2 linked regions of the Arabidopsis thaliana genome follow. The protein of the gene in region 2 interacts with the protein of the main gene of each other region in a pairwise test. Each region holds a gene or a part of one and is shown on either strand. Other genes may lie near its edges.

Region 1 (4,554 bases), on a different chromosome or scaffold from region 2:
TAATTGTTATTTAATAGTTAAACTAATAATAGGATAACAGCTGTCCAAATTGAATGAGAATAGTTTCTCAAAGTTTCTCCTCCAAGAAACTTAATTCTCCTTCTCTCCTACTTTTTCTTCCTTCTCTCTTACTTTTTCCTTTTTTATTATATTTTTTTTATTGGGTATCTCATTGAAAGACTACTGATGAAGATGCTCTTACATATCTAATGGCGTCCGTTTAGAATTACATGGGCTAGAATATTTGTGCCTTTTGAAAGACCTAATTATATATAAGGATTTTTGCTTCAAATCTTTACATTGGAAATTTGAATAAGGCCTGCATATATATCAAGGATTTTTGCTTCAAATTGCTCATTTGTGTGACCCAAATGAAAAAAGAACTTAAATCAAGACCAAACTTTTTTTCCTACTTTGAAGGTGAACCAACCTGAATAAACTTTACAACAAAAATTGATTATTTTTTTGTTACGGAATGCAAAAAGGGAATATTCATTACAACCCATTTTGAATTTATAATGTTTGACTTATTAATTTGATTATTTATTATGTATTTCAGATTAAATCATTTTAAATATTTCAGATTAATAAATCATTCCAAGAAATTATTCCTGAGTTTTGCGAATATAAAATACTCCCTCCGTCCCACTAAGATGAATTTTTTAGAAATTGCACATTTTTTAAGAAATATTGTATAAACATAATTTTAACCTCTTAATATATTTTAAAAATAATAATAAATATTTATCTAATTATTTAGTAAGGGTAAAACGGGAAAACAATTTTAAAATTTGCATTGCAAATATAAAATTTCTATCTTTGTAAGACAAATATTTTTCCTAAAAAATTTATCTTTTATGGACAGAGGGAGTAATAAAAATTATAACAAATTAGAATTGTTCAAACTTCAGACAGAGCTCAAAACTCAGAAAACAAAAGAGAGAGAGAAAGTCTCAAACCAAACTCACACCAATAAAAATTGATTACGCATAATTAAAAAAACAAGATAATATACAAAAATAGAAAAGATACACAAATTTCGAGATGAAACGATTTAAGTCGACGGGTATGACGTCAGCCCAGAAGTCTCAGTCGTCGCCGCTTCTTCATCCAAGAAAAGATCCTCCGTCTTCCTAACCACCGAATGGATCAAAACCAACACAGCTCCGGTCACAAGCGCTCCAACAATATTAAACGTCGCGTTGGTCAACAGGAGTAAAACGACGGTTAACACCGATAAAACAATCAAGACCGTCCGATCATCGATCTGAAACCGGAACAGCTTGATAGGCTCATCACGGAGAAAATACAGAAAGATCCAAACAACGACCAAGACGGTGAAGACGATGAGCGATGTCGGATGCCAGATCAAGCTGAAGAAGATAACGATCAAGACAACGATTGCGTAGTTCATACGGAAGTAAGCAAGATTGGTCTTGATTCTTGTGAACGCATCGGAGACACCGTGAGGCAGTCCCATGGAGTGGAAATCGAACATCACTCTCCAAGCACGGCGCGTGGCTAGCCCGGCTTTGATACGGTGTTTAGCGCGTGAGAGAGACTCGACATCCACCAACGGAGATGCATGAGACGACGTCGGAATCGCACCGTAGTTCGTCATTAGTAATATCGGGTTATGGTTTAGCGCGTGTGAGATTGAATAGAGAAAGTAAATGAAAAGACTGTTTGTTATGTGTATATATGAATTCTGAAAGGTCCCAAGAATTAGGTGATACACATTTGCATATGGCGTTTTCTAAACTAATCTATGTTTATGAAATAAAACAAAATTTAATTAGATCGTGTTTTAAAAAGATTACAATATAGTGTAACGTGAGGATTTGATTCACTACTTGGTCAATGTCTGAAAAGTATAAGTTTTAGATACTCGAGATTTGGGTAACAGCAATTTATAAGTAGATGAATTACTACATGTTGAAGGACTATATAGTTAATTTGAAAGACTAATGATAAAGTAAGAGACACGGTGTCACCGAGCGAGAGTGGCATTATTGAATAGTCGATACAGGCTACACGTGACCCCATTTTAGAGGAGTCTCTCTGGCATATAACTACTCTTTCGCCACGTGTAATGTCGGCAGGAACAATGAGTAAATTATTTATAGTCTCCCTCGGACTTTATCATGATTTTTAGTCAGCCCAATTACAAAAGATATTGGCCCAATACAACGAAGGTTTCATGTCACATGCTCTCTCTCCATTGGACGATCCACATCGATAGGCTTCTTTAGCGAGCCAGACTCATGGCTGCTTTAGAATTGATCCCGCTCTGTGAAACAAGAAAATAGTTAGCTTGTGTCAAAGCACAATACATATAAGATCAAAACTATACCAAAATGTATGATGGATTACAAAAATCTTAAGTTTTTCTCCATAAGAACCAGAGAAACCTATTCAACAAGATTGCTTAAATCAAAGGTATATTATATAATGTAGCTTTCGTTACAAGTAAGCAGAGAAGCAAATACATATATGTAAATCAAGTAGTACCAGATCCACATCACCTATTTTCAAAATAATTCTACATTTTTGTATATCTCAAGGTCTTCCAACAGTCTCTAGTGTCTGCCGCAGCAAACAAAGGTTCTCTCACGACTGTTCAGGGAGACTAATTAATCCCAATAGATGGGGGATATGTTTCACTGTTACCATTACCAATCTTATATGATCACCACCCACTAGAACTAAATGGTGATATACTCATTATATACTCTTATTGTTCCAATGGTTAGTGATCATACAAGATTCGTGATTGTAAAACGTATCCGCCATCTCTTGGATTAGTATCTCTGAAATTGTCTACTTACATGAAAAAAAAAGTTAGTGTTCTCCATGGCCATGCAAACTTCACCAAAAAAAAGCTATAACAACGGAATTTCGGGCTGGACTTATCATCAGCCAAACGAGAAATAACTAACAATAAATGAAAATCAAGGTCTTGAAAAACTCAAAATAGGGAATAAAAACAAGAAAAGGCTCAACGGCGGCGATAACATAAGAAATACCTATTTGCCTAAACAGTTGCCCGTCTTTGCCAATATATAGGCTTTTCTATTATGCAACTTTTGGGCCTTTAACAGGCTTAACGGATGGATCTCTTAAAAGTGAAGCCCTCTTATCCAAATCAATTCTAAAGGCTATTGTGTTAACATAAACAACTCGTAGTTACAATAGTGAGAAAAATGTAATATAGTACAATTAGTGGTTAGATCTGGTTGTTAGTGATGTTCAGTTGAAACAACACAACTTTCTTGTCTTGTCACGTTGTTTAAATCAATTTCAGTGGGTTGTTATGTTAATTACATCATATCATATAAGTGGAGGAGAAATAATATGACTTTGCTTAATCATTCATTATTACATCTAAAACTATTAGAGACTATTCAGAAAAGAGAAAACCATCACCCAGTTAAAAATTAAAAAAATAACTAGTAACTGTAAAATTGCTTAGGAAGCGTTGGCGTAAGCTAATGCTTCTCTGGATCCGTTAATGTCTTCAAAAATTTCCTAAATCTATTGTAGCTTTGTTTTTACTTTTTTTGCCAAAGTTGCTTTTGTACTGGTTTTCTTTGTAACGCCACAACTTCATTATTAATGATATTAACATATTTAGCAAAAAAACTGTAAAATTGCTTGAAATAGATGTAGACTATCATAATATCTTTATTAGACCATTCTTTTGGAAATATATAAATGATTGAACCAGAATTATAACTTTTCTGTAATGATTTTCTTAGTTAATAATTTAATATACGAAGAGGAATAGTCGTCCTTAACATTTAAAAAAAAAAAAGAGAGAGAGGAAATAGTCATGAAAATTAGGATTCTATATCATATGCATAATTATCATACACCTTTGTACTTCAAAAAAAAAATATATATATATATATATATATACGGTCAACAAAAAGGTTTTGTGATTCTGTCCTTATTTGCCTTGTGAAGGAATACGACAAAATAGTTGGCATGTGTGCTATCGTCTTCCACACGTGTGAATCATTTTTTGTCTCCAAACTCCATCATGTTCTCTTTTTTTCTTACCTTTTGCTGTCTCACTATCTTTTTCACTTCCCACTTACAAAACACTCGTGTGACTTCTTTAACCTTTTAGAGTTTGATAATGCAAAACTGATTCTCCATTTTTCACTTAAGAAAAATGATTTATATTCTTTTGATCCAAATGGGTAATTTGTTCTTCATATGCACCGTTGGGAAGTTTATGATTGTGTCTTCTTCTGCTATCCATCTGCATATCATAATCACCAACATATTTTCAAATAAGTCTCTGTATATCGTTTAAGAGTTAAGTCCAACTTGTCAAAAAGAGATTAGACATTTAGATTTATTTGGTCCGAACGTACCATTTTGTCTAAAGTGTAGAGCACTAATTACCACACCCTCTTGTTTGTTTTGAAATTTAAAGATTACAACAAATATTAAATAATTTTGTATCCATGTAACTGATAGTTACCTGAAGCGAGTGACAAGATGGTGAAGAAAAACTGAAGTTTCAAGACGAGCCAAATCGAGACC
Region 2 (3,320 bases):
TCAGTTTGGTCTACTAATCAAGCTGACTCTAATTATGACTTTATAGCTGGTGACTACAACTAGATGGGTCATTTCTATTAATTATTTGTTAGTTTAGGGGTATTCATTACAGATTCTTTTGAGATGATATGGACTAGTTTCTTCTTACTTTGATGAAATAGTGACCATTTGCCCATGTTAGGATGTTTAGTCTACTTTTTTTCCACCCAATTGTGTGAAAGACTCATTAGCCTTTCTTTCGCATGAGAAGTACAGTGATCATTTGTTACCGAAAGCCTGACCTGTTTTGTTTTGAATGAAAATGATAAAACAGGCCCTTAAAGAGCTTAGAGCCAAGGCATCGCAGAAGGGATCCTTTGGAGGTTCTGGACTTAAGAAGAGTGGCAAGAAATGATCCGTTTTATCCATGAAGTGTGTTTTAAAATGCAAATTTATCAAGTGAAAAAAACAGATAATCCTGTGTTGATGTAACTTTTTATCATAATTCGAGAAGAGTAACTTCGCTTCTCCATACATATGTTTGCTTTCTCCATTTTTTCATGAAAAAGAAAAGTGGTATCTACCCTAAAATCATTTTGTCAAGAATCGAGTAGTAGGGTGTCACATCTCTATCTTCAGATATAGTATTATAAACTGTAAGTTGTCATAACTTGAAGTGGAAAATATGTTGCATTGATAGTAGTTGAGAATAGGAGCGTAACTTGACTCTACAAGATGAGGTAGAAACTGAGGGTGGTGACAGGTGATTTTACCAAAGCGGTGTGTGTAATGGTTAACACTGTTCTTAAGAAGTGCATACTCTATAGATGAAAGAACTACAGATAGCCCGTGAAAGCAAAGCTGATCCAGAGGAACTTTAAAGCCTGAAGGAGCCTGCCTTTCTCCTTGAACCGTTGATCTTAGCAGAGGTACGAGGATCAGAGAACTCGTAATACATGTCTGTGAAGAAATTGTCAACAATGTCAAGATACACAGGACTTCTGATGCTTGAATAGCATCGAAGCGCTTCCCTTACATCCAATGCGTGATCCACGTCTCTCAGATCCACCATATTGAGATCTTTCATCTTTTGCGCCAACGCGTCACCTCTTTTCTTTGCATCCTCGAATGGCTCAGCGACTTTCTTCGGTTTCTTTTTATGTTGGTTGTTGAGACTCTTCTGGTGTGTTGTATCTGCCACAGCCGTGTCACAACAGATAACGGTGTAGCTTTCTTTGGTTTGGGTTTGGGAATCTTCTGGACAGCGGCGGCTGCAGGAGTAAGGGCTCAAGAGAGGAGTGTCGTTAGGTAAGTTTTTGTAATCACTAGAGCAGATAGTGGACTTGATGCTCCCAAGAGTCTTCTTTAAGAAACGACCAACTCTCTGAATTGATTTTGATGTAGGTTTCATCATCTTTCTTGCTGCTCATTTTTTTGAGAAGATAACCATATTTATGTCACTAGGGATCTCAAAAGGAAACCTAACATTGATTTAGTGGCATGTAGTAGTTGAAGAAGCAAGCTGATAGTGTCAGACTTTAAGAAGGTGTCATCTTGTTGATTGTGTTGTCCACTTTTATAGGTAAGCAATCGTCATCACATTGATAAGCAGTGTTCAAAATTGGTCCCCTACTTATCATTGCCACCACCACTCACTACTCATATTATATATACTGTATGCCAGTTGACTCGAGGTAATATCAGAACCAGGCCCATGAAGCCCATTAAGAAGCCCATATTTTTGGCGGTAACCAATGAAGATCCATTTTGGGTAGGAAAAACCCTAAAGGACGCTACACAGTCGTCTTCTCGGAGCCGCAAAGATTTCTGTAGAGCAAACTTTGATCATCCCCTGCATCTGCGGCAATGGTAATCTATTGGCATTTTTTTTCCATGTAAGCTCATGTGTGACTTATGTGTAACCGGTGCTTTGGAAATGACAGGGTAAAGGAACAGGGAGCTTTGGTAAGAGGAGGAACAAGTCACACACGCTCTGTGTGAGATGTGGTCGCCGGAGCTTTCACATCCAGAAGAGTCGTTGCTCGGCATGTGCTTATCCAGCTGCCAGAAAGAGGACATGTATGTACTCTCTCTCTATTTCTGTCTCTGTCTTGGAATTTTGGGTCTGATCATGGAGAATTGGAGATATATGAAAGAGTCCTGGAATTTATGATTTTGTGTGCAGATAACTGGAGTGTGAAGGCAATAAGAAGAAAGACAACAGGAACTGGTAGGATGAGGTATCTCCGTAATGTCCCTCGAAGGTTCAAGACTTGCTTTAGAGAAGGTAAAGCTACATTGCACCCTTTGCTTCACTTAAATATTTGATATAATCTAAGACTTGCTCAATCTGATCGATGGAATTCTGTGAATCAGGTACGCAAGCCACCCCAAGAAACAAAGCTGCAGCTTCGTCTTCCTAGGCATTGTTCAGTTTGCGTTTTGCCATCTCTTTCTTGCTATGTAGCTTTTTTTTTTAATTCGTTTGTTTATCTTTTTTGCTCTTGTACTTCCTTTACTGTGCAATCCTATTTCTGATAGTGTGATCACTCATCAATGAAATGCATCCGTGCTATTACTGTTTAAAGAATTCTAGCAAAACTCCACGTAATATGGAAGATGATTACAATGAAAATCCAAGTATCAGTTCGGTGGTGTATATTGACCAAAGAGGTGTTTTTCGTAGTGCAATTTTTTGAAAGCTTGCTCCATTTCCGGAAACGCTGATAGTAGCAACAACTCCAAAATGTCAAACGCCAATTGCTTCAAACACACTGATGACTGAAACAAGAATAATTTTAACAATGAAATCATCAAATGCATGTAAGCATCGCACAAACCTGAAATCAAGTGGAATGTTTACCTGAAGGAAAAAGTAAAGATCTTCTGCACATTGTTCATACTCCTTTTGTCCTATAAGACTCACTATAGTAGCTGGGGCTTTTTCTGTGAGTTGAGGGTTTATTTCAAACATTTATGTTAGTTCAATTAAGCTTCGCAATCATTGATGCAAAAAAAAAAAATCAGATAACAGGACGCTCATTACCGATCATCAGCTCATGAACAAACTTTGCTCGTCTCTCTGCTTCTTGTTTCTGCTCCTCTTCAGAAATGCTGGATTGTTGCTGCCTTTTTGGATGCTTTGTCATGAATACACCATCCGGCCATAGTATCTGAGAGGTCATACCAAAGAGCTCTTTCAAATCTCACCACGGATTGAAATATAACAAGACCAAAGACATCACAGAGATATATCCCTGTTAGGCATACTTTTTCCATTATTCACTGTGACTTTCGCCACTACCTCTCACTGTGCAAAAGGAAGGAGTTCTAGTGGAGGT

The links.
Region 1: the proteins of AT1G15260 (region 2) and PRA8 interact in a two-hybrid assay, tested with the Arabidopsis thaliana proteins (one large-scale study listed by BioGRID).

What each region holds. Positions count from the first base shown.
Region 1 is NC_003074.8:4,494,148-4,498,701, forward strand, and holds PRA8 (PRA1 (Prenylated rab acceptor) family protein), read right to left. Parts: upstream 2,654-4,554; 5' UTR 1,622-2,653; coding exon 1,055-1,621; 3' UTR 832-1,054; downstream 1-831. Other genes in the region: CYP90D1 (cytochrome P450, family 90, subfamily D, polypeptide 1), read right to left, coding at 4,183-4,267, 4,493-4,554. UniProt on the Arabidopsis thaliana protein: May be involved in both secretory and endocytic intracellular trafficking in the endosomal/prevacuolar compartments.
Region 2 is NC_003070.9:5,247,907-5,251,226, reverse strand, and holds AT1G15260 (LOW protein: ATP-dependent RNA helicase-like protein), read right to left. Parts: upstream 1,468-3,320; 5' UTR 1,394-1,467; coding exon 857-1,393; 3' UTR 654-856; downstream 1-653. Other genes in the region: AT1G15270 (Translation machinery associated TMA7), read left to right, coding at 314-394; AT1G15250 (Zinc-binding ribosomal protein family protein), read left to right, coding at 1,846-1,848, 1,923-2,058, 2,165-2,266, 2,356-2,402; AT1G15240 (phox (PX) domain-containing protein), read right to left, coding at 2,623-2,760, 2,843-2,925, 3,026-3,152.